Linked DNA regions of Coturnix japonica. The protein of the gene in region 2 interacts with the protein of the main gene of each other region in a pairwise test. Links are inferred from orthologs where the notes say so. Each region holds a gene or a part of one and is shown on either strand. Other genes may lie near its edges.

Region 1 (7,778 bases), on a different chromosome or scaffold from region 2:
AAACACACACAACCTGAACAAAAAGTAAGTATTCCATTCAACTTGTGAATGCTTGTGAGATTTATTCTTTTTTTTTTTTTTTTTTTTTTTTTGCCAGCTTTTACAGTCCACAGCCTTCTCATTCAATCTTGAATAATAGCTTTGAATTGAGCTGTAAAAGCTTCCGAAGTTTGAAGTCTTTTGACAAGTTAATTTAGCTGTATGGTAAAAAGTTTTTTCCCCGCAGATAGAATAAAGACATCGTATCATGAATGGAGTCGTCATCTGAGGGGAAGAAAACACCATTAGGATAAGAAATGATGGGCTTTATGGAGATAGTTTGTGGTTTAGTGTAATCTACTATCAATATTTCAGTAGAGAAGTATTCTACTTGTCATTCAGCTGCAAGTCAATATCTTCACTTATAAAACCAGCAGCCAGGGGCCTGACTGCATATACATTTTCATTGAAAAAGTGACTTGTTGCTTTTTGTCAGCTTGCTTTTTTTGTTCGCTTTTTGTTCCTCACAGTTATTTCTACTTTAATTGTTTGGGGTTCTTCTTATCCTGTATCATTCAGGATTCTTCTTTTTCTGGTTGAAAGAGACAGGAAAATGAATCAATATTTCCTCTAAGGCTCCCCTGTAGAGAAACACACACGTGCACACACACATGCACACACATCGCTATATCTTTTTCTCTCAGCAGCTGCCAAGGATGAAAAATCAAGGCATTCAATAACATGTAGATAAAGAATCAGGAAAATAATAGTCACTGGTAAGCTAAATGATCCAGCAATTATCCTGCCCTCAACTCCACGCAGATCTCATGTTAAAGTACAGACTCGTTTCTTGTGTATCTCTCAATTGAAGCCTCAGTGTGCTGCTAACATTGACAGCTGAAGGCAAAGAGATCTGCTCTATCCTCGCAGCTCATCAGTCCGCCCAGGAGGGATGATGTCCTACGGTAAGATCTTAGGGGCAGCAGTTTGTAGTGGCTGCACCATGTTCCTTCTCTCCTCTCAGAGGATCAATGTTACTGCTAAACAAATACGGAACTTATACAATTCAGCAAAATTTGGCAAGGAAACGTTTTCAAAGAGTATCAAGCTGAGGATGACTGCTATAAATATCCAACGCTCTCTTCATTGTTGCAAAGCTTTTTCTGTATGTTTTCGAATCCTACGTCTTCCTTACCCAGTCTTTTCTTCCCCAGCAGCAGCACCATGACTTTTCCTTGTCGCGTTTTTTTTCCTGATGGTAGAAAGGATGAAATGTGTACAATGCAGGGAGGATACAGAGCAGATGGGAGTGGGAGATAAGGCAAAGAAGGGTGACTGGAGGGAGAGAAATATCAGGGGAGAGCGATGATGGCAACTGACTGATCAGGAGGGAGGAGGGAAAGCAATCCACACATGGACACTTGCGTCTGGGCTTGACTGCAGCACTGGCACTTGGAGTAGGTGTTGCTCTTCAGTGGCAAGGCTCTAGAGGAAGCTCCTGCTGGCTTTCTCCCTAACTCGATGCTCTTTTCCCTGACGAGGAGGTGGTGGAAGGGGCAGCATTAGGATGGAAAGCTGAGAGCTCCTCTTTTGCTTTCTCCAGATTGCTGTGACTGGGTACGGAAACGAGCTGGAGCGTCGTGATGGATGTTACCTGCTTAAGGACATCAAAAAATGGACCCTTTTTGACAAACAAGTGGAATTCAGATAGAGACGAGGTGGAGGTGGGCGGGAAGCTCAGTAATTGCATTTTATTTCAGTCTTTATGAATTAGCTCTGCCAATTCCTTTAATTCAAATAGCTTTTAAGTAAACTTCTCAGCTGCAATTACAGTAAAAACAGACTATACTACATACAGTCAGCTTTCACATATAGGAAGAACGTTTTTTCTTGCTCACGTCTGAATTCTAGTTTATAGGAACAATGGCAGGGTTTAATTTTCTGTCATTATGCACAGGTTAGCCTAGACTGGATATTAATAGACACACACATATTCACACCCACGGCCACAAGTACCGCATCAATCAAATTTGGAAGATAAAACTTACACTCCATGGCAACTTGAAGGGTGCAATTTTCTTTCTCTTCTTTCATCTTTCTAAAATACCTTCAGCCATGTAGAAGGCATTGGAGGTGATAGACCCAGCCAGCTTGGAGCTGCAGGAGAGCATCCAGGGCACATATGGGGAGCACTGATTTGCTTCAGGGACCACTTAAGCAAAGCAATGCCTGTAAGTATGTTGGTGTGCAAAGCACCTTGCAGCAGCCCAAGAAATAGGAAGCCTCAGGAGAGGGCAGGCAGCCACCCAGCTGTCCATACATGGGTCCTGCTATGGCCACCGCTCATTCCATGCACTGGGCAGCTTGTGGCATAGATCAGTATTGCCTTGTTGGCTGCACAGTCTGCACTTGTGAACCTCTAGACCTAAAGCACTTATCCCCACACGTCTCTGGACACTTTAAAATAATTTAGCAGCTTATTTATACATGCAGGCATACATACACGTGAGCACACAAACCGGCCCAGAATAAAGATAGCAGAACGACCATAGGAGGAAACCTAAAACCTCACTGACCAAAAAAACAACAAACAAACAAGCCCACAAGCCAGTAGATGGTAAAAACGAGACAAAAAAGGGCTTCAGCTTTATGCAGAAGTGGCAGTATATCCTTAGACACACACTATAGGCTGTAGGCTCAAGCATAGAAGAATCACGATTGTAGATTGTAGAATGGTTGGTTTGGAAGGGGGCTCAAGGATCACGAAGCTCCAACCCTGCGCTACGTGCAAGGCCACCAACCTCCACATTTAATAGCAGCCCAGGGTAATTAATACCTGCCCGGGGTAACACACAGCGATAGAGCAGCTCCGCTGTGTGACGGGACTCCTGAGGAACCCAACGGACGGCGCCCAACGGCCGCGGGTGGGCGGGGCTAAGAGCCGAGGCGGGGCCTGATTGGTTCCCTTCCCCCGCCGCGCGCCCAGCCGGGATGAGGCGGAGTGCAAAGAGGGAGCCGAGGCTATAAATAACCCGCGCTTCCTGATTGGCCGGTGGGAAAAATGGTCGCACCACGTGACTCTCCATCTAAAAATTCCAAGATGGCGGATCCCGTCACGGGCTGAGTCCGTTGGTGGCGCGCGCGCCGCCCGTGTCCGCCGCCGAGCTCTCGCCTCACGGCTCCACGCTCCTCCCACCGGTAAGCAGGTCAGTACGCCGAGCCTCTCGCGTGGCCGGGTAGCCCCGGGGCACAAGGGCTGGGCGAGATTCTGCCCGCCGGCTTTTAATCCCGGCCCGGCCCTCCCCGTGGTTCCCTAAGGCTTCGACGGGGCGCGCGGTTGTTTTCCTCCGGGCTCCGGCCGCGCGGTGCGGAGGGTTCCGCAGGAGGGAGGTGACGGGCAGCTCCGCGCACCAATCGCGTTGTCCCTCGTGGTGGATTTGAGCCGCTGTGCGACGCGATTGGACGCGGAGCCCGGTGGGGGCGTGGCTTCCGCTCGCCCCTCCTCCCGCAGCCGGGCGGCGGCGCTGGCGTTTTTTTGTGAATGAGGCAAAAGGGGGCGGGGCTACGGCGTTGGCCACGCCCACTCGCGGCCGCGCGTGGCTCCTCCCACCCCCGGCAGCAGCGGCGCCGCCTCGGAGCCGCGCGGGGCTCGGCGCGGAGCGATGCGGGCAGCGGTGAGCGGCGGGGACGGGGGCGGCGTGGGACGGGGGCGGTGGGGCCGTGCGGGGCCGACTGGGACCGACTGGCGCCTCCTCGGCCCCGCACGGTCCCACCGCCCCCGGGTTTGGTGGAAGTCCCCGAAAATGCTGTGTTTTAGCTCGAGGGATGAGGTTTGTGCTGCGATGTTGGGGTCTTAACTTGAAACAAACCACAAAAAAAAGGGGGAAAAAAGATGGCTTGCAACGCGCGTGGCTCTGCGTAAGGGAGGTGCTGCGGGCTTTTGCTGCAGGAATTTGTCAGAGCGATGCTCGGCGCTATCATCTCCGAGCGGCGTGGCCTCTGAGCAGGGGAATGTGTTTGCGGAGCGCTTAGTTGCCATGATGGTAGGGCTGTATTTGGGAGCTGAACCGGCCTTTGATTCAAAGCACTTGCGTAATTGTTTTGGGGCATGATACGGGAAGGTTTTGTCGCTTGCTCGTTGGCACCAACTCGGCTCGTTGCTCCCAGCCTCCCCTAAAACGCTGCCTTGAAGCGAAGGGGAAGGTTTGTGTGTGCTGGGTCGGATGGGTGCCCTGTGCTTGTCCTCAGCTCCATGCTCGCTAACGGTGCCGCGATGTGCTGCTGTCACGGGCTGCCTCCAGCTGGGGCCGTGTTCCCTGCCAAAAAGCTACCTGAAGTTAATTATGCTTTGATAACAGCGACGTTTCTAAGGAGCTCTGAAGTTTATATAATAATCTGCTTCTTGGCAAGGCTGCTTTTTTTCTCCTTTTCCTCCCCCCCCCCCCCCCAGCCCCTCCCGCATTGAGTTCTGCCTGCTCTGATGTTTCCAGTGCTGCCGCGTGGAGTTCCCAGCCCAAAGGCTGCCTTTGTCACTCCTCAGCCTCTCAGAAAGAGTTAAGAGGGCATTGAATTAAGAAAGCTCAGCTGCTTGTATACAAATATACCGCAATTACAAGGCACCAAAGTTATTGCCGAATCCTCCCGTCACCATGGTGATGTGCTCACTCAGTTCCATTTGGAGATGTAAAATGCCACCCAGTTAGAAAGAGGAAGTTTTTTAGCACTGCAGGTTTTTCTGTACCAAGTGAAACGTGCTTTCCAGGATGTGTCTGCTGCTCTGAATGGCACGTGCACCTGCCAGGTGTTGTCGCTGACGTTAAGCTGTGCTCTCGGTTGGCTCAACTGAAGGGGGGGAAAATGATTCTGATAATCTCAAGTCTTTAAAATTCATCTTTCCCGTTCTTGAATTTCTTTGGGTTTTTGCTTCAGGGTTTGGTTTTGTGACAAGGATGCTTTAGAACAGCCGGATATGTGTTTTGAATGGCTTGTACAGAATGGGTTGGAAGGACGGGGTGGCAGCTTTCATCCTTTGCACAGGAGCTGCCCCTTCAGATGTGTGTGTCCGTGCAGCACCGTGACCTGCAAAACCATTCAGCACTGTGGTTTTCTTTGCCGTCTCTGCTTACATAGAGCTGTGGTTTAGCAGGCAATATCGGTGGCAGGTGGATGGCTGGACTGGATATCTCAGGGAGTCTTTTCCAACCTTGGTTATGTGATGTGTAGGCAGGTCTGAGCTGTATGGCCAGGGTCGGGGGGCAGTGGGTTCCATGCCCCAAGTATGTGATGTGGTTGGTGGGAGCGAGTCTCATTTATCACTTTATGTTGGCTTACAAGCAAAAAAGAATGAAACGGAAGGAAGAATTAAGCAAAAAGAGGGAGCTGCTTGGTTATGGGTTCCTGGAGAGGTGGAGCTGATTCCAGCCTGCAGCATTAAACCATGCAGTGACCTGCAAGGGCAGGGAGCTGGGCTTAGTGAAAATGAAAGGTAAAGTTGAGCAGGAGCCCGTGGGTTTAGATTACGTTGCCCTCCTAATCTCTTTGAAGTGGCTTGCTGCTCCCTGAAGCAGACTTCTTTAAAGCCATCGGAAGATGCCTCTGGGATCAGAAGCTTGGTGCAATGGCTGAAGCTTTCCCTCTGATCATTTGTGGGTTTCCAGTTCTGAGGCAGCTACAGCCTTTCTATTGCATGAACATACCCCAAACCAGATAAGACAAAGTGCTGAGGAAGAATGTTTCCATTGCCTATGTAGTATATGACAGTCAGGTACTCCAGGTCATCTTTCTGTTTCCAGAGCTGAGAACAGCTAAGAGCTCACCATGCACTTACCAAGTAACTTATGCTGAAAGCAGTTTGCATGCTGGATGTCCTTTAGAACCTGCTGCACAGCCTGACCTCAGGGACTGAGGGCTGACAACACGAGAGGTGCTTGTGTTCTTGCTTGGCTGAACGCTGGGCATGCCACACTGGAAGACCACTGGCATTGTTTTTCAGCACCTTTGGGCTGCATTCCTGGAACGCTTTTTGTATGCCATGCCTTTGTAATATGACGGTAAATGAGTCCTTGAGTTTGCTTAAGTGCAGCATGTGCTGTCTGGGTCAAGTGGCCAAGCGTGTGCTGAGCAGGGTCTGACAACCTGAATGCTCAGAACCCAGCTGGGCCCACTTAATCGTGGGGTGAAAGCACTCCTCTGGCCTCCTGTCCTTTTCCAGGTAACAAAATGTCTGTGTTGTGCTCCTTGGTGCTACGTGTGTTAGTATTCATTGGAAGTACTGTTGTGTGCATAGGTGTAATACCATGTATATAACACAACTCTTCAAACCCTTAGGACTCTTCTCACTCATCTTGAGTTGATGGTTGGTGAACATGGTCATGTTACCAGAACATTTTATTTGCTGAATGGTATTCGCTGTGAGCCCATTCCAAACTACCAAGCATAAAGACCATAAAGAAATATTAACTGGAAGTATTCTTTGGATCGTGATAATGATCTTCATCATGTATTTGTGATGCCAAGTGTTCTTGACTTTTCCTGCTGGCCTCCTTGGTGATGCCTCCTGCTCTGTTGGTCTCCTGGCTTATCTGTAGCTTGTTTCTAGGTGTCCCATCACTTTTTGCACCCTCCTGCTACCCAGTCTGCAAGACCAGCCACTGGATTTATATTCTATCAGATCCCTGCTGGAGTACCTGGAGCTTATTTTGTTCAACGTGTGTTGTTGGTCAGAGAAGCTGTCAGGATGCATCTTGTCACTTCATTCAAATTTGCTCTTCAGTTTTGCATCAGCTTCCCTTATAGATAACCCGTGTTTTCCATTTACAGGTACTCGAGGCCTAAGCACACCAATGCTCTGCAGCGATGAAAGGAACCTGGTTCTCCTCAGCTTGCTGATTTCAGACTTGCAAGCAACAAGAATAAAAACAATAATAAAATCAAAGCTGAAAATATGATTTTTGCCTTACATTGTATAAGTTGAGAAACAGCAGTCTCCTACCTGCTGCATTCCAGACCTTGGCCGAGGGGTCTTAAAACTGCTTTAGTGATTAATGCCACTCACATTTTGATGATGTTATGCGGGAAACTGAAGTGGGCCAGGTTTACTTTCTCGTGCAGCGGGCCGTGTTGATAAGGCAGTATATAACAGATGATTCATGAAGTGCTTCTTGTCATTGCCAGGACTGCCTGAATAGCAAGCAGATTTTGGGCAGTGCTCCTTCCCTGGGAAGACTCTGGGCAGTTTAAGCTGGGAGAAGGGGAGGGAACAAATAGACGTGCGTTTCTGACTGTCTTAAAGGATAAAGACTTAGAAAATTCAGAGGGGTGAAAATAGGTAAGATAAGTGGGGACAGAGAAGTAGGAAAGCACACAGAAGCTGTAAAACGATGTTGAAAAGAGGAGCAATTAGAACAGCCTAAAATCTCCTGGAATGCTTTTGTGGTTCTCCGTTTGCAAGGAATTACAGCTTGGCCTGCATCTGTAGAACTTGAATCTTTTTGCGTGGCATTCATTACTGGATGCATCTTAATTAGCTTCATTCTTTTCCTAAATGTTTTTTTTTGTTGTTGTTGTTTCTGCTGGATTTTATCTCAGAGAAGTTTGATAAAAATCTGCCTGATTGCTGGTCAGGGTGAGGTTTTGGTTGTGGTTTTTAACCCTAAGAGTGCTCCATGGCGGCCATTTAAAATCATGGAATCACCAAGGTTGGAGAAGACCTCCAAGATCATCCAGTCCAGCCATCCACCTACGGCCAGTATTTCCCCACTAAAGGAAGCCAGAAGGTTGCTGGGAGGAGCTGGAGGTTG
Region 2 (6,916 bases):
TGTGCTTATAAAAAACAAGCTGATTTATGGCTGTTTTTTCACAGCTCTAAGAGATTCGGTGGCTTAAAAGGGTGCTGTTGGGTCAAGCTGGAGTTACCCACGAGCTGCCAAAGCTTTTATAGCTGCTCGGCTTTAGTTCTATCCCTGCAACACCTGCAGCCCCAGCCCTGCGGTGGGGAAGATGGAAAATCAAGGAGCTCTGAGCCCCGAGGGGAGCTGCCACGTCCCACAAACCGGGTCCTTCTCTTGCACGTCCCCACGCCGGGAGGGGACGGCTCCTGGGGGCTGAGGAGGTGACACCCTGGCTCCCGTCGCTCCCGTTGAGCAAGTGTTAGGCATGGGGCCAGGATTCGTCACCAAGGTGCAGGCCTGGCCCTGGGGTCCTGGCTCCCAGCCCCAGCTCTGTGCTTTGTAGGGTCAGGGATGGGGAATGGTTGGGGATGGGGAATGGTCGAGGCTTTGCTCATCGCCCTGTGTGGGGATGTGCAGCTCCATCCCCCTGCCCCACAGCACAGCCCATCCCTAGAAGGGGCTCCAGAGCTCAGGACAGGCTCCTTTCAAAGCAGTGGGCTCAGAGCGGGCTGATCCCAGCAGGAGTGTGGGGCTGGGACCAACACTGAGTGGTTTCAGAGCCCCCCAGGCTGTGGTGGGCATCATCCCTGCACTGTGCTGTTCTCTGTGTGGACAGACACACAGAAGGGCAGCACCCAACTTGGACACCCCAAAAGCTGCCCTGCTGTGGCCACCAGCCCTTGGGATGGGGCTCAACCACTGTCATCCAGCTTGGGGACGAGGGACAAGCCTGGCTGTGTGTCCTGCTGCCCGCCTGTCCTGCTTGGGGTGTGCAAGCAGCGCCAATGGAGCAGCAGAGATCTATTCCAGTAGCCATAAAGCCATGGCCACTAGTCGCTGGGTGTGGGGCTGTGCTGGGACCTGATTCCAGTGCCCACCTTCTGTCCCCAGCCCAATGGGGCTCTGAGTTGGGGATACCCCCTGGTCATGGGCACCTGAGTCCCGTTGTTTTGCTACTGTTGGAAAACCCTAAAATCCACCTGCACAGCCCTGCTCTGTTCCTACTGTGGGCAGACAAGGATGGGGAGCCCTTGTGGGGATGGGGGGGTCCCTCCCAGCTCCAAAAAGCCTCCGGGCTGTCTGTGAGGTTGTGGAGCAGCACAGCCCCAATCACTGCAATTTGGGGCATGGTTAGAATTGCACACCACCCACCGTCCCCTCCCCGTGTCCCCAACCCCGGGGGTCAGGCCCAGCAGGTGCCTGCGGCTCATCCTGCACGTCTGCCAACCCTATGCTGCCCATAGGGCATGGGAGCAGCTACCAGGAGGGGTGGGTGCATTCAGGGCAGGATGGAGGCCAACCGTGGGAGCCCCTTATTTCCCCCTCAGAGGGAACTGATGGCACTGAGGGACCCCAACCCCATCCTCATACTCAGCCTCATGTATTTCCTCAGCTCTGGGTTGGGGGCTCCCAGTGCTGCCCTGCAGGCTCTAAGCCGGCTCTGCCACGGGATGTGGGGCTGGGAGAGCAGGTTCTGCTCCGCTCATCCTCCCACAGCCAGAGCATTCCCACGGCCCCATCCTCCCCACCGCAGGGTCGTGCCTCAGTTTCCCCATACCCAACACTGGACCGTGCCAAAGCACAGCTCAGCACTATGTCCCCAATGTCCCCAAGTGAAGACCCCGTTGAACCGGCACACCCTGAGTCACTCGGCTTCCTCCTGCCACCCCATTTCCCATCAAAGCCGGGTCCTGCCCAGCACGGCCCAGCCCTGCTGCTCTCCATCTGATGAGCTCACGGCCCAGGCTGCCAGGACTGGATTTCAGTGTAATTAACTGTTCGTGTTGAAACTCGCGCTCCCAGAGCTGCACCCTTCGCTGTGGCTGAGAGCCAGGGCCAGAAGTGCTGAGCTTTCTCCAGCGCCGGCACATCCACACCTCCATGGGGATGTCCTCACCTCGGTGGGATGCTGTCACCTCCCCTGTGACAGCTCCGTGTCAGTGCTGGAGGGGAAGAGCTGAAACATCCCCCTGTCTGCACGGAGCCCCAGTAATGGGGTTTGGGACACTGTGGGTTGCGTGGTTTGGGTGGGGACACCATGGGGATGGAGATATCATGGAGGTGGGGACATCAAGATGGGGATGGGGACATTGTAGGGATGGGGACATCATAGGGATGGGAAGACCATAAGGGTGGAAACATAATGAGGATAGGGACACTATGAGGATGGGGACACTATGGAATGGGGACACCATGGGGATGGAAACCCTACGGGGATGGAAATACTATGGGGGTGGGGACACCATAGGAACATCTTGGGGATGAGGACAGTACAAGAATGGGAAAACCAAAGGGATGGAGACACCATGGGAATGGGGACATACAATTGCAGGGCTGGAGACCTGGGACATACTCTCCCTATGGAAAACCCACCTAGAAAGCCCATTCTGAGACCCGTCCCTGAGGTCTGGGGCTGGCTGAGTACCCCCACACCCCATGGCGGGGCTGGGAGGGGCTGCAGGCAGCCAGACCTGCACTTTGGAGGCCCCGAGTGCTCCCCAGCATGGCGTGGCACGCAATGGGACCGGCTGTGGGAGCTGCAGGAGCTGCCTGGGCTTGTGCACGACAGGAGAGATGAGGCGACCACAGAGGCAGACGTGCACGAGATGGTTTATTGGAGCCACACAGAGGCTTCGGCAATTCGCAATCCTCCATCCGGGTGGGGGGCACATCAACCCCCCCCCTCCCCTTTCTCCCCATCCCGTCCCATCACCTCCTCCCATTGCCCCCAAGGGACCAGCGGCACGGCTCTAGCCCCCCAAGACAGAGGGCTAGGGCCCCCCCTAAGCTACGCTGGGGTATCCCCCAAACAAAGTGTTAAAGGGGTGAGGGGAGCATGACAAGAACATGGGGGGGGGGAGAAGGAAAGGGGAGGCCCTGCCAAAGGGCAAACATATGGACCCCACTCCCAGAACTGGAGGGGGGGTAAGGGTGGGGGGGCGAAATACCTTCCCCACTCCTTAAAAAAGGAACAAAACAAAAGGAAAAGACACCGAAGGGCTTCGGGAAGGGGAAGGGGAAAGGGGGGGGAGTCTGGGAGGGAGGGGAGGAGGAAGGAGGTGGGGGATGGACCCCAGCTGCATTGGGGGCCGTTCAGTTCTTGGGCTCTTCGCCAGCCTCGCCGCCGTCTTCACCCGCGCACTCGGCTGTCCATAGCGTCAGGTTGTCCCTGAGCAGCTGCATGATGAGGGTGCTGTCCTTGTAGGAGTCTTCGCTGAGCGTGTGCAGGTCCCCCATGGCCTCGTCGAAGGTGGTCTTGGCCAGCGAGATGGCCTGCTCGGGGGCGTTGGCGATCTCGTAGTGGAAGACGGAGAAGTTGAGGGCCAGCCCCAGGCGGATGGGGTTCGTGGGCTGCATCTCCTTTTTGCTGATGTCCATGGCCTCTTGGTACGCCTTCTGGGCGCTGTCGATCGTCTCCTTGCGGTCGTTGCCGGAGGCCACCTCAGCCAGGTATCGGTAATAGTCTCCCTTCATCTTCAGGTAGAACACTTTGCTCTCTGCATCTCCGGCCTTCTTGATGAGGTGCTTCTCCAGCAAGCCCAGCACCACGTTGCAGACGCCCTTCAGCTCCTCTTCCACCTTCTCCCTGTATTCATTCACCAGCTGCGCTTTGTCGTCTCCCTCCTCGGTTTTGTGCTCGATGCTGGAGATGACCCTCCACGCCGAGCGCTGGCAGCCCACCACGTTCTTATAGGCGACGGAGAGGAGGTTGCGCTCCTCGTTGGACAGCTCGTCTCCATGCTCCACCACCGCCTTCATGAAGTCCGCCATGTCCTCATAGCGCTCAGCCTGCTCGGCCAGCTTGGCTTTCTGCACTTGGTGGTTTCTTGCCATGGCTGAGGGCGGATGAGGAGCAGGATGAGACGAGGAGTGGGGCCGGGAGCCGTCGGAGCCTCTGCTGAGCTTCACCGCCCCGATTCGCTTTTGGCTGAGCGTCGGAGCCCCGAGCAAGAGCAGGAGGAGCCAACGAGGCTGAAGGAGCGGCCTCCTCCTCCTCTGCTTCCTCCCCGCAGAGCCCGCCCTTAAAAAGCAAATTGCCGTGAGTCATCATGCCCCGAGGCACAGGGTGATGGGGAAGGGGTGAGCGGGTGGCACCCACCCTGCCCTGGATCAGGTGGGTGCCGGGAGGGAGAGGATGTGTTCAGGGAGTTCATGGTGAGCCCCCCCTGTGTCAATGGGATGTCCCACTGGATCAATGGAGAAGTCTGGATCAATGGGACATCCTATGTCAGTGGGAGACTCTGAAACAATGGAGGAGGGAAGATCAACTGGGGACCCCGGATCAATGGGAAACCCCAAATGAATGGGAGACCTAGAATCAGTGGGGACTCCAGATCAGTGGGGGAGCCTGAACCAGTGGGAGAGCCTGGATCAATGGGATACCCAGACCCACGGGAGACCTGGAATCAGTGGGATCCCGAAATCAATGGGAAACCCCAAATACTTGGAAGACTTGGGATCAGTCAATGGGATCCCCAGATCAATGGGGGACCCTGAGTTAATGGGGGAAACCGGATCAATGGGGGACCCCAAATAAATGGGAGACCAGGAATCAATGGAGATCCCAGATCAATGGGGGACCATGGACCAATGGGGGAACCCTTCCCCATCTGCCAGGAGTGCTCAGAACAGGGAGCAGTGGGGTCGTCACATTGGGGTGAAGCAGGAAAGCGGCAGCACCCAGTGCCCCCATCCCAACCACCCTTAGAGAAACAGCACGGGGAATAAACCTGGCTGTAAAAATGGTCTCCTCCCCAAAAATCCCATCGCTGTCATTTTTATATGATGATTAACTTGTCGGTGATTGCAAGGGCTTGAAGGGCTGGTATTTATTCCCACTGGTGGGGAAATCGAGGCAGGAGGAGCAGCACGTTACCCCAGCACTGCTGCAGGGATCAGGGCCAGGATTGGGATTGGGGCATTCCCAACTCCTCCACCCTGCCTGCTCAGGGGGAATTGCCCTGGCACTTGCAAGTACTCAACCCCAACCCCCCCATTGAACCATCATTGGACATCCCCAAACCCAAGGCAGCTCCACACCCACAAACCCCACTGGATCCCCATTAAGGCTTCTCCACCACCCATCCCCATGTCCCCCACCCTCTCCGCTCATCCCACCGGGGCTCTTTTCTCTCCCTTTACGCTGTACTGGAAGAATTGGGATTATTATTCCTTCTTTTTTGTCAGTCTCATTTTGATTCGAGTTCTGCCCAGCAGCGCTGGCGGCCCCGATTAGGATCTGAGCTCGGCGTTGCGCTGCAGTTTCGCTCTCAGCCTGTTCCCACACGCCGGCACAGGGCAGGGTGCGGCGGGCAGCACGTGGGGATGGAGCCAAGGGCTTCACCAGCGCTGTGCCAGCACCCTCAGCCCCATCCCTGACATCCTCTCCCCATTGGGGTTGCTCAGGGCTGGCAGCTCTTGGTCCCAAGCTTATGCGGTCCCAGTCCCCATCCAGCCACATGGTGGGGGCTGTTGAGTTTGGGGCTCAAAGTGGACCCCCCGTGAGCACTGCTCGACCTCATGGATGCACAGGGGCTGTGGTTTTGAACAGAATGCACTTCTGCCCCCTACCCCATAGGAGAGACCACAAATGGGGCTGTGTATGGGGGCAGGTCCCCCCCAGGGCACAGCATGGAGCTCGTGGGTTTGGGTGCTGCCAGAAGCACCGAGCTGCTGCCAAATGTTGGTGGCAAAGAGCTGAGCAGGAGCTGCAGAAATATTCTGCTCTACTGGTTTTGGTGTGAGTTAAGGGGGGGTGAAGGAAGAGCCCCAGCTCTGTGCCCTGCTGGGGAGGGGTCAATGGCCACCCACCACCCTCAGAGCACCCATGAACTCACACAGCTGCAGTGAGGGATGTGGGATGGAGCCCAGCACCACACGGACAGACAGGAAATGGGAAAATCTTTATTTTGTTACAAAAGTAAAAGGCAGAATCCTACCAGGCTCAAAGCCCTTTGCACAGGGGGAAGGGGCCCATCCCCTCCATCAGAGCCCCATAGCGATGGACCGGGGGGTGGGAAGCTCATGGGGAGGGTGAGCGTTGACCGTGCACCATCCTATGGGGTCGAGTGGGATGCAGTGGGCAACACGCTGCTGGCTTAATCCCAAACCCCCCCAGGTAGGGCTGGATGCTGGGAGCCCTGGCTCAGTACGTGGCTCTTCCCCATGGTGGGGGGGAGGAAGGAGGAACGCAGTATTGCACTCGGGAGGGAAGCTGTATGGCTTTTTGGCCCCTGCTGTGGGTGGGGGGCTCAGAAAGGCTTTGGCTTGCACACGGCTGCTCTCCCCCCTCTCTCACAGCAGGAAGGGGGAAGGCACAGCGCTGCGGAGCAGAGGCACGGGCGGTGCTGATGGCTGTCATCGTTGGGGGGTTCGTGGGGTCCTGGCTTCCCTGGGGTGCTCCAAGAGGGGCAGAGGGGCTGCCGACCTGCGGAGCTCCGTGCTGCCCTAAGCACACTGCACAGCCCCAGGAGAAGGGAAGGAGGAGAAAGAACTCACCTCGATGACAGACATATCGAAAGACAAATGTCACATTACACACAGGGAAACTGAGGCACAAAGGGATGGAGGTGAGGGATGGAATCACAACACGTTCCCAGCTCAGTCAGCCAACATCCCTACACCGTGCAGGACAACACTGCAGACAGCACGGGGCTGGGCTGACCCTCAATTCAGCTCCATCTCACAGCACTGGGGGGTTGGAAGCAGCCTGCCGTGCTCAGCCAGGCTGCAGGAAGGCAGTGGGAGCATGCAGGTCTCAGCACAGCTGGAAGGTGATGGAGGGCTTCAAGGGCAGAGCCAGACATGCAACGGGGATGAGATGGGCTGAAGGAGGAGAAGGAAG
Region 3 (7,611 bases), on a different chromosome or scaffold from region 2:
GCTAAGATGCTGAACTTCAGTTTCACATTGCCTTTTGCTTTACGGCTTTTGGGCACGCAAGTTATGCCTCAGCAGGCAACAACAGGGAAATACTCTGAAGGGCTCCATAAACCATCAGTGATTCTATACCACTGCTTTCTATACATCAGCCTATAGAAAAAGTGAAACTGGCCGGGCAGCAGCCAGGGAGCCAATGAATGACGAACAGCTCACCTCCAGCCAAACAAGCATGTGCTTAATTGGAACTGAATTGGAACTCATTTGCAAGGCGTGAGGATAACCTGCAGAACCTCCCAGCCGGGGCTACTTTTGCTTTCTGGCTGCTGCTCTTCTATGGGGGACTTTCAGAGCTGCTGTCACAGCAGTAGCAGCCAGGGAAGTCCCTCCTCATTGTAATCTGCAGTGCAGCCACTGGAATTGTTGCACCACGCACACACATACATCTGAATCAAAGCAAACACAAAGTGCCAGACCACGGAGCAGCACTTCAGCCTCCTGCAACCAGTGCTAAGCTGCAGAACCATTTGTTCTTTCCTTTCCACTGCACACATAGGAAAAGGCTGATTTTCCCTACATTGAAGCGATTTGGAAGAGGCCAGTTTCAAGTTCCTTCTGTTCCTACAGAAGAGAAGACAGTGGGTTTGGGAGAACATGACAAGCCTGGCTTTGGAACATGGCCCTGCACTGGATGGGACCATGTTCTCTGTGAGCCCATCACCGTGCTGAACCTGCTTATACTCATGGACACACAAAGTGCAACAAGAGGGACAGTGTGTAACACACAGGGACTGCTGCAGAGAGCTTTGTGCCCTCCTGCTGAGCAAGGCACAGCTCTGCCCAAAGCCCCCACAGCCCCCATCCCACAGGCAGAAAGCCGGAAGCAATGATCCTCTTATCCTGGAGCAGCTTGCAGAGCCCACAAGGGGATTACAGTGGCTGCAGGCACACTCCTGCACCAACACTTCTCCCCCCAGCCCGGTTAATTCCTAACTCCAGCTGAATTACATTAGGGAGCAGACGGGCTGCACACCCGGCAGGTCTGCCCGCTCACACAGCGCTCAGCACAGCTCAAGAGCAGCAAACAGAACCTTCCTGGAGGACTGAGCTTTCCGGAATTCAGAGGTCACACCCTCACAGACCGTAACAGCTGTATTTCCCTCCATTGTGTGCCGGGGTAAAGCAGCTGCAAAGCCCTTCTGAAGCAACGAGTTTACAGGCTTTATATTAGCTGGAGCAGATGTGTATAATGCTCCAGATGTGTTCTCTATTAGAACTGTACAATGCAATACGTTATCAGTGCATCCCTGCCAGTACAACAGGAACATCACAGCTCGGGGGGCTGAAGGCATTCAAGCATCCCAGCAGCACTGGGCAGCAGCTCCACCTTCGGTTCCGTTCTTCAAACTCATTCGGTCCAACATCTAAAAAGCTGCACCCAGAAGAGTCCTTAACTTGAGATGTGTGGAGCACCCCAAGCATCTGTGTGTCAGCGTGGATGGGATGAAGCAGCCCTCAGGCTGCAGGGCTACAAAGGAACTTCATCACGAGGGAAAAGTCGTTGCAGAACAGCAGCAGAGCACGGATTGCTTTCCCCTGCGCACAGATCCCCATTTCCATCTTTCTGAATGTTAAATCCGACTCCAGTTCCTAAGCATGATACGCAATGGAAACTCAAGAGTAAACCCAAGGCTGACAATCCCTTTGCACACTCATCTAAGAGGACAGCCATGCTTTACCAAGCTCCACACCCACCTACTGCAACACCCAGCTGGGCACCACGCTTCAGCTTCCCTGTAACATCTCGGGATACATTTAATAAGACACAACTCCAGGCTCAGGTTCTGTTGCCAAACAGATGCAGACACATTCCTAAAGAGAACAGACACCATTCCAGGAACTGTTTGCCAGAAGAACACGAGCCTGTGCAACAGTGGGAGCAGCACAGCGTGCACAGCCCAAGGTGGGGGAGCTCTCTGCCACGAGCCCCCAGACCTACTGAAAGGAACAGCTGGGTCCTGCCTCCAACTGAAGCTTAATGATGGTTTAACCTGCACAAAGGAGAGACTAACACAAAGAAATATGGACGGATGCTACTGAATTACACACACTTTGTGAGAGCTGTCAGAAAGCTTGAGAAATGTGGCAGGAGTTCTGTGTCAACCCATGCCAACCTGGGCTGAGACAGCTGCACCTCTCCCACCACTCCTGCCCTCTCTGCAGCCAACAGGACTCCCACAACTGCTCGTTGAGCCCCTTCAGAGCTGGGCCAGCTGCAGGCAGACCCACCAGCACATCGACAGAAGCAACACTAAGGCTCTGTGCTGATCGGGTGCTCAGTCACCCAGGAGAGGAATGCAGAGCTGGAGTCATGGAAGCCCCACACCCACCGGCTCACACTGCAGCACAGCCTGCAAACAGGAGCACAGCATCACTGTGGTGCTGCCCTTCAGACCCCACTCCTGCAGGCACTTGCTGTGAAATATATATGAGTGTGGCCCACACGGCTATTTCACAGCCCAGCTCTCACACTGCCCCTTCTCTTTGCTGGAGTCCACCTGACTGAACAGCACACACCCTGCAGCTGCCACCTGCACAGGATGGAAACGGAGCCGGGTCTTTAGCAGAACGCAGCACCTGCAGATGTGCAGAGCAGATGGGAAGAGGTCTGGAGCTTTGAGACACGCTCTCCCTTTACCAAACTCCAGCAGAGGTCCTCAGTCCCTGCACAGCGACTCTCGGACAGCGCACACGTTTAAAGGAGGCCCTTAACGCCAAGAATGCCTGCTATGAAACTGTTATTTACACGGAGCCCCGCGCACCGCGGCCTCGAGTTAAAAGGCCCTTCAGCTGACGCCCGGGCAGCTCCGCAACGGCCTCTCCAGCAGCTTCGCTCCTTCCAGCGCAGCTCTGAGGACACGAGGAGCGAACACACGGCACAGCCGCGGGCTGCTGCTCTACTGTCCCGGACACGGCGCCGTATTATCGGGGCGGCCCCCCGGGCCCGCACGGCTCCAGGCCGCGATAGCGGCACATGGAGCAACAGGTGAGCGCGGCTGAGAACGGCACCGCGCGGAGAGCGCCGAGCAGGCCCGGCCCGCGCCAACCCCGCAGCCCCGCGCACCTTCCATCCGGCCGAGCTGTTGCTGTCGCCCTTGTCCTTGAAGTAGGGCACGCACCGCACCATCCAGTCGTAGATCTGCGACAGGGTGAGCCGCTTCTCGGGGGAGCTCTCGATGGCCTGGGTGATGAGGTCCGCGTACGACAGGTTGCCCCACGCGTTCCGTCGGGAGCCGCCCTTCCGCGCCGCCGCCGCCGCCGCTCCGCCGCCGCCTCCGGCCCGAGCCCCCTCTGCCCGCCCGGGCCCGGCCGCCGCCGCCGCCGCCGCCGCTCCGCCCGCTCCCTCCTCCGCCGCCGCGCCCGTTCCGCCCGTTCCTCCCGCTTCGGCCGCGCCCGCGGGCAGCTCGGGCCGCGGTAAAGGCCACGTACAGGAGCGCGGCCGGCTCTGCGGCTCGAAGTCCGGGTCGATGTCCGGCGCTGTGGCCGCCGCTCCGCCCGCCTCCGCCATCGGCCCCGCTCAGCGCCGCCGCCCCGCGCCCCGCCGGGCCTGAACCTCCCGGTGCCGCCACATGGGACGTGACGGGATGTGACGGGACGGGCCCGACCCGCCGCCCTTTGTCAGTCGCGAACCGACACCGCCGCGCCGCTCTGTTTACCAGCGAGCAGCGCACCGAGCTGCGCCTGCGCGCCACGAGCGTGCTGGGAGATGTAGTCCCGGCGAGGAGAAAGCGCGCGGCCGAGGCCCAGCGGCGGACTACGATTCCCGGCGAGCACCGCGCCGCAGGGCGGGGAGCTGCGCCCCCACGAGCGAGCGTGGCGGGCGGGGCGGCACCCGGCCTACAGCTCCTACAGCTCCTACAGCTCCTACAGCTCCTACAGCTCCTACAGCTCCCGGCGGGCACCGCGGCGGCTGCGCTTACATAACCGGGCCGTCACCTTCTCGTGCCCCCTCAAGGTGTCTCGGACGGGGCCGTTCCGCCCGCACAGCGCCCCGCTGCAGGCCGCACCGCGATGTCCGGACCGGAGCGGCGCGCGAAGCGCCACGGGCCGCAGCGCGATCGTTGCGTTAATCAGGTTCCGGGGCTCCTGCGAGCATACACGTTCCGGGGCGGCGATCGCCCGTGCCCCGCGCTATGAATACTCGCTCGCATTATGCAGGCGCCCTGCGAGCGGCGGCGCAGCATGCACGAGCGGGGTGGCCTCGGCCGCCCGGCACTCTGGATAAGCCGCGCGTTATGCAGGCGGCGGGCGGGCGGCGGGGCTCTATGCGCGGGCGGGGCGACGCGGGCTGCGGCAGCGGCCGGGCCGAGCCGGGCGGGGCAGCGGCGGCGGTACCATGTCGGAGGCGGCGGTGGCGGACACACGGCGCCTGAACGCCAAGCCGCAGGACCTGACGGACGCGTACGGGCCGCCCAGCAACTTCCTGGAGATCGACATCTTCAACCCGCAGACCGTGGGCATGGGCCGAGCCAGATACACCAGCTACGAGCTCCGCATGAGGGTGCGGCCCTCGAGGGGGACGGGGCGGGCGGGGGGTGGCCTGGAACGGATCGGAGCGGCCTGACGGGACCGGGACGGGGGGACGGCACCACGAAGGCGCTGCGCCCTACAGCAGGGCCCTATAACAGGGCCCTATAACAGGGCCCTATAGCAGTGCTCTATAGCAGGGCCCTATAGCAGTGCTCTGTAGCAGTACCCTATAGCAGGGCCCTACAGCACGGCCCTATAGCAGTGCTGTACAGCAGGGCCCTATAACAGTGCTCTATAGCAGGGCCCTATAACAGTGCTCTACAGCAGGGCCCTATAGCAGTGCTCTACAGCAGGGCCCTATAACAGTGCCCTACAGCACGGCCCTATAGCAGTGACCTATAGCAGTGCTCTACAACACGGCCCTATAGCAGTGCCCTATAGCAGTGCTCTCCAGCACGGCCCTATAGCAGTGCCCTATAGCAGTGCTCTACAGCACGGCCCTATAGCAGTGCCCTATAGCAGTGCTCTCCAGCACGGCCCTATAGCAGTGCCCTATAGCAGTGCTCTACAGCACGGCCCTATAGCAGGGCCCTGCGAGCTGCCAACGGCACAGCCGGGCCTTGGGGTAAACATGGCCGACGGACGGGGGTGTGGTGGTTATGGAGAGCGTGTGCAGCTGGAGCCTCCTTTAAAAGCAGCCGGGCTGGGCTGCGAGCAGCGAGCGGATCTTTGTCTCACTGGAACTAGTTCCTGCAGGGATGCTTTGAAAGCAGTTTTGTTCTGCAGGCCTGATCAGGATATCATGGAATCGTTGGAAGGGACCCTTAAGGGTCATCTACTCCAACTGCTCTGCAATGGGCTGGAAAACCTACGGCTCGGTGAAGTTGCTCAGAGCCTGGTCTGTATACAGTTAGCTGTGTTGCAGCAGTACCTGTGCGTGTCTGGGTGCTGCGTGTCAGGAGGTTGTGCTGCCTCAGCTCCCACGATGATTCAGAATGTATTGATAGTGCAAAGGTGAAGTTTGAGGAGCTGTCAGACTCTTGGAGGAAGGGAGGGAGAAGGAAGGGGAGCTGCCGCAGGTTGTTATGTGCTTATGTTCTGTCCAGAATAGCAAAGCTGGGCGTTCCTGTGATATGTCCCTCTTGGGGGGCCCTGGTTTTCTGAACGCAGCTTTGGCTTTCAATGGCATGTAGAAACACTGTCTGGCTTCCTAAGGGCCCTGCTAATTAACTGCTTCTCTTGATTACAGACAAACCTCCCCATCTTCAAATTGAAGGAGTCGTGTGTGAGGAGACGATACAGTGACTTTGAATGGCTGAAGAATGAGCTGGAACGAGACAGTAAGGTGAGGTCTGGCTCAGATGTGCCTATTCCTGCAAGTGGGCTGTATGAGAGCAGCAGCAGCGATGGTTTGGAGCAGAGGAGAGGCTGTGGTGGGCAGCCCCTGGGGCTCGATTTCTGGCCACGTGGTGGGTGTCAAATGATGACGGGTGCCCTCTCTCAGGTGGCAGTTCTGCTGACAGGAGTGATCCTTTGCTTTCAGATTGTAGTGCCACCACTGCCTGGAAAAGCTTTGAAACGACAGCTTCCGTTCCGAGGAGACGAAGGCATCTTTGAGGAGTCCTTCATCGAGGAGAGGAGACAGGGACTAGAACAGTTTATTAACAAGTAAGCTTGATGCCCCGGGCTTGCTGCCTGCTCGTTCTTCCAGCTGCTGCTGGTAGTAGAGGGGGTCGTGGGTTGACCAGAAAGTAATCTAGATACGCTAGTGTTGTGCTGAGAGCTCTGCCTTCACTCCCCACCTGCAGAAGGTGTGTACGTGGGGGTCTCGGTGGTGCCTGTGCTAACCTCCACCTCTCGTTTCCTTCTAGAATTGCTGGGCACCCGCTGGCACAGAACGAGCGCTGCTTACATATGTTCCTGCAAGAGGAGACCATCGATAGGAATTACGTCCCGGGGAAAGTGCGCCAGTAGCAGCACCTGGCGCTGTCTTCCTCCATTCCACCCTCCCTCCTGCAAAAATGACATTTATTTTTACACTAAATCCGTCTTCTCTGAAGCAGCTTTTTCCTCTCCTGAACCTCCCAGTTTGTTCAGTATTTTCCTTCTTTTTGTAACTGGCAGCAACTTGTTCTTGCGGGCTGTGGTCTTGGCCTAAAGGTGTGAAGATTGATGCGAGTGAATGTGTTGTCCCACACCTAGCGGCAGGTGTGAATAGGTGTGGAGCAGGAACTTGCTTGTGGCATTACGGCGTAGGAGCTGCCTCTCTCCCTGTACGGAAAGGTACGAGATGACCTTCGCTCCCCCTGTCCATGCAGCCCCAAAGCTTCTCTTCAGGAGACTGTGAAGAACAGCAGTTGTCACGTTGGTCGGTGATGGCATCGGGTATTAGAGTTTTAGTAAGGCTTATCCAAAAGAGTGAGTAGGCGCCTGGGTGCATTGGTCCCTCGTCCACCCCACCTGCCCTGCATGAAACCCCCTTTCTTCAGTGTCTGGAAGTGCCGAGGCCCGAGACTTCCTCTCTAAGCCTGCGCTCAGCCTCCTGCGTTCCAGAGCCGTGTGCTGTGTTAGTGTCAGGGGGCCCCGCTCCTTTCTGGCTTGCTGCAGGCAACTTGGGGGGGTCCCCACGAATGCCATGTGCTCTCCTGCTGCTGTGTGTGAGCAGGTTGCTGTGTGGAAGCTGGGCTAGCCTGGCCTGTCGCACTGGGGGCTCGAGCTTGCAAAATGCATTGACACTTCTAGTTGAGCTGAGCTGTAGTGACCTCCTCCTGTGCCCCGGTTGTGGAAGGGGGAGCTGTAAGTGGCTGTGGTGGCGCAGCGGTGGTGACAGGTGCCAGCAGCTGGCTGCTGCAGGAGGAGCCCAGCGTGAGGGTGGCAGCAGCACCTCTCCATAAGGGAGCTGCTGGGTCAGTTCTGGGTTAATCGGTTGGGATGGAACAGGGTAAGGACTGATGGAGTTTTGTCTCGTCTCTGTTTTGCAATGAGCTGGACAGTGGCAGTATGGCGCAGTGTGGCACGAGGGCACGAGGCTGAGCAGGGAACGGTCCAGGGCTTGTGAGCAACTGGCTGCAGCACAGCTGTCCT
Region 4 (6,878 bases), on a different chromosome or scaffold from region 2:
AAGTTGGCGTCATCTGTCCTTGTCTTCTGCCAGGGCTGCTGTATCACCACTGAATTTAGCAGCACAAACCTCCATTTCTCCACCCCCAGCCAACACTGCATGAGAGGTAACAACCCACACATCTGCAGGCAGGACATTGGTCTGAGCAGCACATGAAGGTACAAGGACACCTTACAGCTGTGCACGCAGCCAGCAGAACCACTGATTGCAAAGCAGCAGCTCGGTGATCCAGAGCCTTATGTGTACGTGTCCCCCTCAGCTCAGCTCTCATTTCTTTCTTCCCTCTGCCTTCAACATGCAAAGCCAGCAGAGCCATCGGGTGCACAGAGCAGAACCCAGCCGTATTTTAGCAGCCTTCACCCAAGCGCAGCCCTGTGCTTTCTAATGGCCTTTTAAGGAGCGCTGCCAGCACCACGGCTCGGCTCCCGCTGTGAGCTGTAGCACTTCCCTGCAGGAACGAGCTGGTGTAACACACGGGCTGTGAGCACACGTGTCCTCTGCAAGCCGGACCTACAGGCCCTGTGAGCCCAGTGCAAGAGGAAGGGCCCTAATTGCTGTTTGTTCGCACATAGGAGGCTTCAGGCCGACCTGACAGCGGCCCCGCACCAACAGCGCGGCCCGATGGCGACCCCGTGTGGCCACAGGCAGAATCTGAGACCAACTGTAACTGAATCCAGAGTTCTGTTGTTAGTTCTGCCCCTTCCTTGAATGTGTCTATTAAAAACCAGAACCCTTTGATTCAACGCAGCCAACCTCCCCTGTAACTCTGAAGACATTGTTCTTAACCAGACCCAGCAACCAAAGGCATCTTCAGAGCTGGATGAGATGGATTTTAGCACTGCACAACTTCAGTCACGAGCCTGTGACAAACACCCTCCACCACTGCACTCAGACCACACGTCCCAGGACTCCAGCCACATGACAGAGTACAGCTGAGGATGCTGAGATGCTCACCATCACCTCTGGTTGATTGCAATGCAGAGAACACAGCCATAGCTCTGTGAAGCTGGATCAGGAGCAGCACCAACGGACCTCAAGGCAGAGCAAGAAAGAAAGGCAGAGGTTGGTGTCTGGTTGCGGATCTGAAGGAAGCAGTTTCCTTTGGAGCCCTGCACTGGAGGCATGCGGGGTGGGAAGGAGATGAGGGTATGTTCTTGCAGCTTGGTCATTTCACAGGGCATTCAGGAAGGAAGCTGCTGAAAATCTGTTAATGATCATCATTCTTTTCTTCTCCAAATACCTTGAAGACAGACAAACTCAGACAGAACCCTCTGCAAACACCTCAGTACTTAAATACAAGCGTTAAATATCCAAAGGGTGCGCTCTTTAGAAAGAATGAGGTACTTAAGAGGTGAAGTAGGAACAGAGTCTTTCAGAAAACATTTAATATGAAACCTTTTGGAACTTCCATCGAATACAGATTTACATCATTTTATCAGAACAGCGTTTCAGTTCAGACAATGAAGTGCACTGCCAGGTGGAGAGAAAAAAGAACACATTTGGAGGAGTGCTGGAAGTGTGGGAAGTGAAAGGAGAAGGTGACTGCTCACCTGAGAAGGTGCAATGACTGCCCTGAAAGGTTTTATTGCTATTACAGAGTGGACTTCTTGAGGGTAAAACCATACTGAGCAGCACGGGCAGAGCACTGAAAGCCAACTGAACCCCGAGAGTCCCAAAGCCATGGCATGACACAGAATATACAGAGAATAAAATGCAAATCCAGGAATATTCACTACATTGAACAACTACGATCGTCCTTTAAAACTAGCAGAGTCAATATCGATGCTCAGGGGAAGGAATGGAGGGGATGTCTGCTGCCTTCACAGACCGCGGGTCACAAGGACTAACTTGCACAACACCACGGGTTCTCACCTGGTGTCAGACCCGAACTGCGCACTATGAACAGCCATTAGCTCACTGCAGATTTCAATGCCAATTGAGGCTCCAGTCTAAAGCACGCGTGAAGTACATGCTGAAGTGCTCCACTGAAATATAACCATCAAACATTCACACAAAAAGTCAAGTAGATAACGCAGCGTTTTATCTACAGAAGTCCTCTGTGAAATGAACTGAGTATTCAGCAGGAAACAACGCTTGTAGGAAGCTCCTGGTTCCGCTCTGCCAGCCCAAATCCAGCTCAGCACAGCAGTGCTTTAAGAAGCAGGGACCATCCGACAGCAGCTCGGTGTCCTACAGAAACTAGCAGCCATCAGTGTCCGTCAGGGCAGGTTCCACACATAAGAGAACAGCGGACTCCTTCCTCAGCAGGATCTAGAGACACAGCCGGCATGAAGCCAGCAGCAAGGTGCCCAGAGCCAAGCGGGAGCATGCTGCAAGAGAGCTGCAAGGAAAGGTTTAGCTGCCACTGCCCATGGCTGTAGTTAAGCAAGCTGGATGTTACAACAGGGGACATCAGCAGCCAAATCTGACTCCCACTTTTGGGTTTCAGAAAACAAAGGAAAGCACTGCTGTGCCCGCAGCAATACTTTGGAGCAGCACAGGCTCATGTATGGTGATGTGCATCAGAACGTGGCTGCTGTTTGAGAGTCCTGTTGTGCTGTGATCAGGCTGGCCTAGTGCAAGGGGGAGAACTCTAAGAAGCCACAGGTCAGCACTCAGCACACAGCACTGCTCTGCAGGGGGACTGTGGAGCAACAGAAAAGTACTCAGAGCTGCAATCAAAACTCGTAAGCCAGAGGGATAAAGATACAGTTTTAGTAGCTCAGCAGAAGAATGGAAGCATTTACTCAAATTTTAATGCACAAATCAACTACATTATTAAAATCTGATTCGGACTTAAATAATAAATAGGTGGGCAAAACATAATGCAAGACTTACTGGGTAAAAGTGAATTTTTAATAATTTCATGAGCTCTACTTAGAAAACAGGACTAATAATGTTCACAACCGTAAATCCAAACCCTTCACACCCTTTTGTTCCTTAACACAGCAGTGAATTGTAAACCTGCGTTTACTGGTTATCTCTTCAGTTATTTTAAATATTGAACTCAAGTGTTTCCTCCTTGGCCATTTCAATTTTTAGCACCAAAATTAGCCCAAAAAGAGGTACTGGTACAGCTCCATGTGGTAAATGAATTGTTTACATATAATACTTTATATATTATACACACATACTGTACATTCACACGTCCACACAAACAGGAGGCATATTTAAATGAATATATTCTGTGTTTCAATTTGTTGTCAAAGACTTAGGAGCAATGGAAATAAAGCAGAAGGGGTAATATTTTACATAGTAGGCAACTTTAATGCTGTAGTGCACTTATAAAAAAGTCCAACTCTCCCTCCCAGCTCAGCAGCTTTGTTTTCTTTAATATCACTATTCAGAAGGATGCAGAAGTTATTGCCTAAATGTTATTCTATACATTTCCATCGGAATTCTCAAAACACTTGAAATTGCTAACTAATTTACAACTTAACTATTGTTTCTTGTTACAGCTTTAACTCATTGGCAATTTTGGAAGCAATGTTTTTAAAAGCTATGGATGTTCCCGATATCCGCTTAAAGCGAACTCCGTTCAGGGACAGTCTTGGCAGGTCACACACCTCCATTTCCCACTGCACGAGGTTTTCCGCGTGCCCATCTCCATGGACACAGAAAAGCAAGAAACGCTCTCTTTGTTCATAGTCACAATTATTGGCATCCAGGACCTTCCGGATCTCCCTCATCATGTCATTGGGATCCATGGAGCTGGTGGTTTTCATGCTCCATGTGAAACGCAGTGAGCGAGGCTTGGCTTCCTTGTTCTCATCCTTCTGATCCACGGCTACATTGCGGCTGGAAGAGAGCAATTCATCAGTCAGAAGGGTGAGATACTTCCATGGGACAGGTGTTAGCAAAGCAAACTCACGGGCAACACACACTACAAGAGCAATGTCTATGGGCCCTGGCAGCACCCCATCTCCCTCACTGCCGTACAGACACACAGTAAAGATAAAGCGTCAGCGTTCGGGGCTGAAACAAAGGTGAGGCTTGATGGGAGAAACAACTGGAGGTCACTGGAGTTGGGAGCGTGAGGGAAGTCACCTCACTGAGGAAAAACCACACACATCAGCTAGGATTCAGTTTTAAGTGTTGCTCCAAGCCCTACTCTTGGGCCACCTGCCACCCAGTTCTGGGCTGGACAGGTTTCACTCTATGAGACGTGCACAAAAGAACCACTGTATTGTAGGATACTGGGGATACCTTCAACAGGGAGGAAATATTCTGACTTTAAGCTGGTCAGTAATTTGGTTAATACCAATCAAGTAATGTGGTGAAGTCCTTTGCAGCTAGAATCTATTCATGTCCTGGAGACCAAAATGCAGGAAGGAGAGCTGGAAGTACTGACATGGTTAGTAAAGCAACCAGGGCAAGAGGGTTCCTATTACTGCCACAGTTCTAAAAGACAGCAAAAAATATGCCTTAGTACTTTCCATTTCCCAAATCTGCAAGGTTTTCTTTTTGTTTCTTTAAAGCTTTTCACTTGGTAAGGAGAAATAAGGTTATACAGGACAGTAAAAAACGATCCAGAAATTTCTAGTTCATAATGATGCCTCTACTTCCATAAAATCAGCAGTCACAGAGCTAAAGCATAAGGAGCTACATTTAAACCTTTAAGAAAAAAATGGGGCAGGTTTTCTTTTGGAAAGACTGCGTGCTGTCAGTCCTATCTTCAAACTTGTCCCCAGGGCAAGAGACTTTAATATACTGGCCACGATGCTTTAATATTTTCTGAAAACACATAACCTTGCTAACCCTAAACCACACAGTTTAGGTCTCGCGTTGAACTTCAAAGTTCAGTTTACAATTAAATTAAGCTCTTCTCTGAGATATTTGGCAGTGAATTTCTGCTTACACAACGCTTTCTTCCTTCTCCCACCATTAAGCAGGCAATTATGAAAAAGTTACATAAAAAGCAATGGCAAGGTCACAAAAAACCTATTGCAAAGATAACCTGTCTCGTAATTTTATATTCTATTATAATGACTCCCAGTAACTGCAAGAATAAAAGGATTATGCTGTCAAATCCAGCTGCATGATTTCTCAGATGCTACATACTCTTTGATTGCTGATGTATGTTGTAACTGTAAGGTTTTAATTTAATGAAGCTGCAGGAGCTGGCAAAAAGGATAGGGGGAGTAACATCAACTTTTATTCAGTGCCGACTTTAGAAAGCCTTTTCTACTTGAAAATGGTTGGCAGAATGAACACAAAGCCGATGGTTTCTAGTACTTTTAACACAAGGATTTGAGGAAGAGTTTAATATGGAAAACATTTGTGATTTTGGAGACAAAAGCACAACTTAACATCCTTCAGTGGTTATCCCACACATGTGCAGTCTCACTGGACACCACTTACCTACAGATCTACGAGACAACAGCAAATCATAAATACTAAGATGCAAAAAAACACACGAGGGAGAAGGCAACAGGAAAGATGGAAGTTTAGAAACAAGCCAGTCAGTGCTTTAGTAGCTGATCTGCAGACAGAAACGCTTCTTTGTTTAGTTTCACAGCCTTAAACAAAACAAAAGCTGCTGCCTGAAGCCACTGTGCCACATAATCAAGGGAAGAAAGGTTCAAACTCACCTAAATAACATTTCAAACAAAAATTTTACCCTCACCTTGAGCCCTCAAATCTCCCGTTCCTCTCATATTCAGTCGGGAGCCTCATTGAAAAGAATGCAGAAGCAAAAGGAAGTGGGAAAGAGAAGACAAATCTTACACTACAATATACAATATCTGAGTAGTTGCTAAAAGACACTGCAATCATAGCAAAGTCGTGTTAAAATACAAAGCAACAAAGATGTAATGAACTTTCTAGGTTAGACCAAGTTCAGAACGTAACATCTTACCCAAGTCTGTTAACTACAGCTTTTAAAAGACCCTTAGCTATTTTTGGCATGGTGTGCTTATATATTTACATTGTAGAATTCATTGAAGTTGAATGTCCACTGTAGAAAATGTCAAATGAAAATAACAAAATATATTAAAATTATCATTTAATAAATAAGTTCTCATTATTTTTAGCTTTTTGGTTGCTTGCTTGTTTTAAGTGATCTGGGAATAAAAGTGTACATTTGAAAAAAATAACGTTTATGAACTAGTCCAGACTTGGTCTGCACACACACCCCATCTGAAGAACTGGATATTTAAACACCTAGCCATCTAAACCAAAAGATCAACATACGTATACATTTTAACCAAAGTTTAGAGGTAAATCCAAGATCTCCCATGCTGTGCTATTAATTCTCACTGTCACATCTTCTATATCCAAAGAAAGTTAAGCTTTCTATCCTTTTGCACTGTTTAAAGCTACGTTGCTGACTGCTGACAGAACACCCAGCAACAACCCTATACAACAAGGTCCTGCACAGCACATGGTAAGATGGGATCTCTAGCAGGAGACTAATGGACTAATAAAAAGCTGTAACAAAGATGATGATGAAGACTATGAGAACAACTAGCAAGTCCTCAATCAATTCCAGCACTTCAAAGCGTGCTTTATTGGTAGCTATTTTTGTCTTAGTTTTATATTCAAATATTAGCATTCAACCTTCTTAAGGGGAGAAATTTCCACTTGTTCAGTCACACAGGAGGGCAGCTGACCCAAAGGCTACAGACAGCCCTTCCAATGTTCTTTAGTAGACTGACTGCAGCCCACACTTATGTCACATTTCTGAAACTCACACATGCTTAAGACATCAATAGCACTGATGGACTTCAAGGCAGATTAAGATCAAGTGCTACTACTCTACTATGGTGAGTATTAGAGAAGGTAGACGACATTCACAAACCCAACCTTTACAACAATATTCTAAGACTGAAATGGGAAAACGCTGCAAGGGAGAGAACCCTTATAGCAGCAGAACAAAG

What was found.
Region 1: the proteins of SFN (region 2) and HDAC4 interact in binary tests that used the Homo sapiens proteins (3 or more experiments, as listed by UniProt). The link is inferred for Coturnix japonica from reciprocal best matches to the Homo sapiens genes SFN and HDAC4.
Region 3: the proteins of SFN (region 2) and FOXO4 interact in binary tests that used the Homo sapiens proteins (3 or more experiments, as listed by UniProt). The link is inferred for Coturnix japonica from reciprocal best matches to the Homo sapiens genes SFN and FOXO4.
Region 4: the proteins of SFN (region 2) and MARK3 interact in binary tests that used the Homo sapiens proteins (3 or more experiments, as listed by UniProt). The link is inferred for Coturnix japonica from reciprocal best matches to the Homo sapiens genes SFN and MARK3.

The regions. Positions count from the first base shown.
Region 1 is NC_029522.1:2,885,563-2,893,340, forward strand, and holds the start of HDAC4 (histone deacetylase 4), read left to right. Parts: upstream 1-3,067; 5' UTR 3,068-3,177; exon of another isoform or gene 3,178-3,185; intron 3,186-3,559; exon of another isoform or gene 3,560-3,653; intron 3,654-7,778. UniProt on the Homo sapiens protein: Responsible for the deacetylation of lysine residues on the N-terminal part of the core histones (H2A, H2B, H3 and H4).
Region 2 is NC_029538.1:1,603,745-1,610,660, reverse strand, and holds SFN (14-3-3 protein sigma), read right to left. Parts: upstream 4,060-6,916; 5' UTR 3,907-4,059; coding exon 3,166-3,906; 3' UTR 2,667-3,165; downstream 1-2,666. UniProt on the Homo sapiens protein: Adapter protein implicated in the regulation of a large spectrum of both general and specialized signaling pathways. Binds to a large number of partners, usually by recognition of a phosphoserine or phosphothreonine motif.
Region 3 is NC_029519.1:2,351,932-2,359,542, forward strand, and holds the start of FOXO4 (forkhead box protein O4), read right to left. Parts: upstream 3,953-7,611; 5' UTR 3,566-3,952; coding exon 3,122-3,565; intron 1-3,121. Other genes in the region: SNX12 (sorting nexin-12), read left to right, coding at 4,394-4,558, 5,777-5,872, 6,071-6,195, 6,399-6,501. UniProt on the Homo sapiens protein: Transcription factor involved in the regulation of the insulin signaling pathway. Binds to insulin-response elements (IREs) and can activate transcription of IGFBP1.
Region 4 is NC_029520.1:45,751,546-45,758,423, reverse strand, and holds the end of MARK3 (MAP/microtubule affinity-regulating kinase 3), read right to left. Parts: intron 5,672-6,878; coding exon 5,627-5,671; intron 3,799-5,626; coding exon 3,453-3,798; 3' UTR 2,702-3,452; downstream 1-2,701. UniProt on the Homo sapiens protein: Serine/threonine-protein kinase. Involved in the specific phosphorylation of microtubule-associated proteins for MAP2 and MAP4. Phosphorylates the microtubule-associated protein MAPT/TAU. Phosphorylates CDC25C on 'Ser-216'.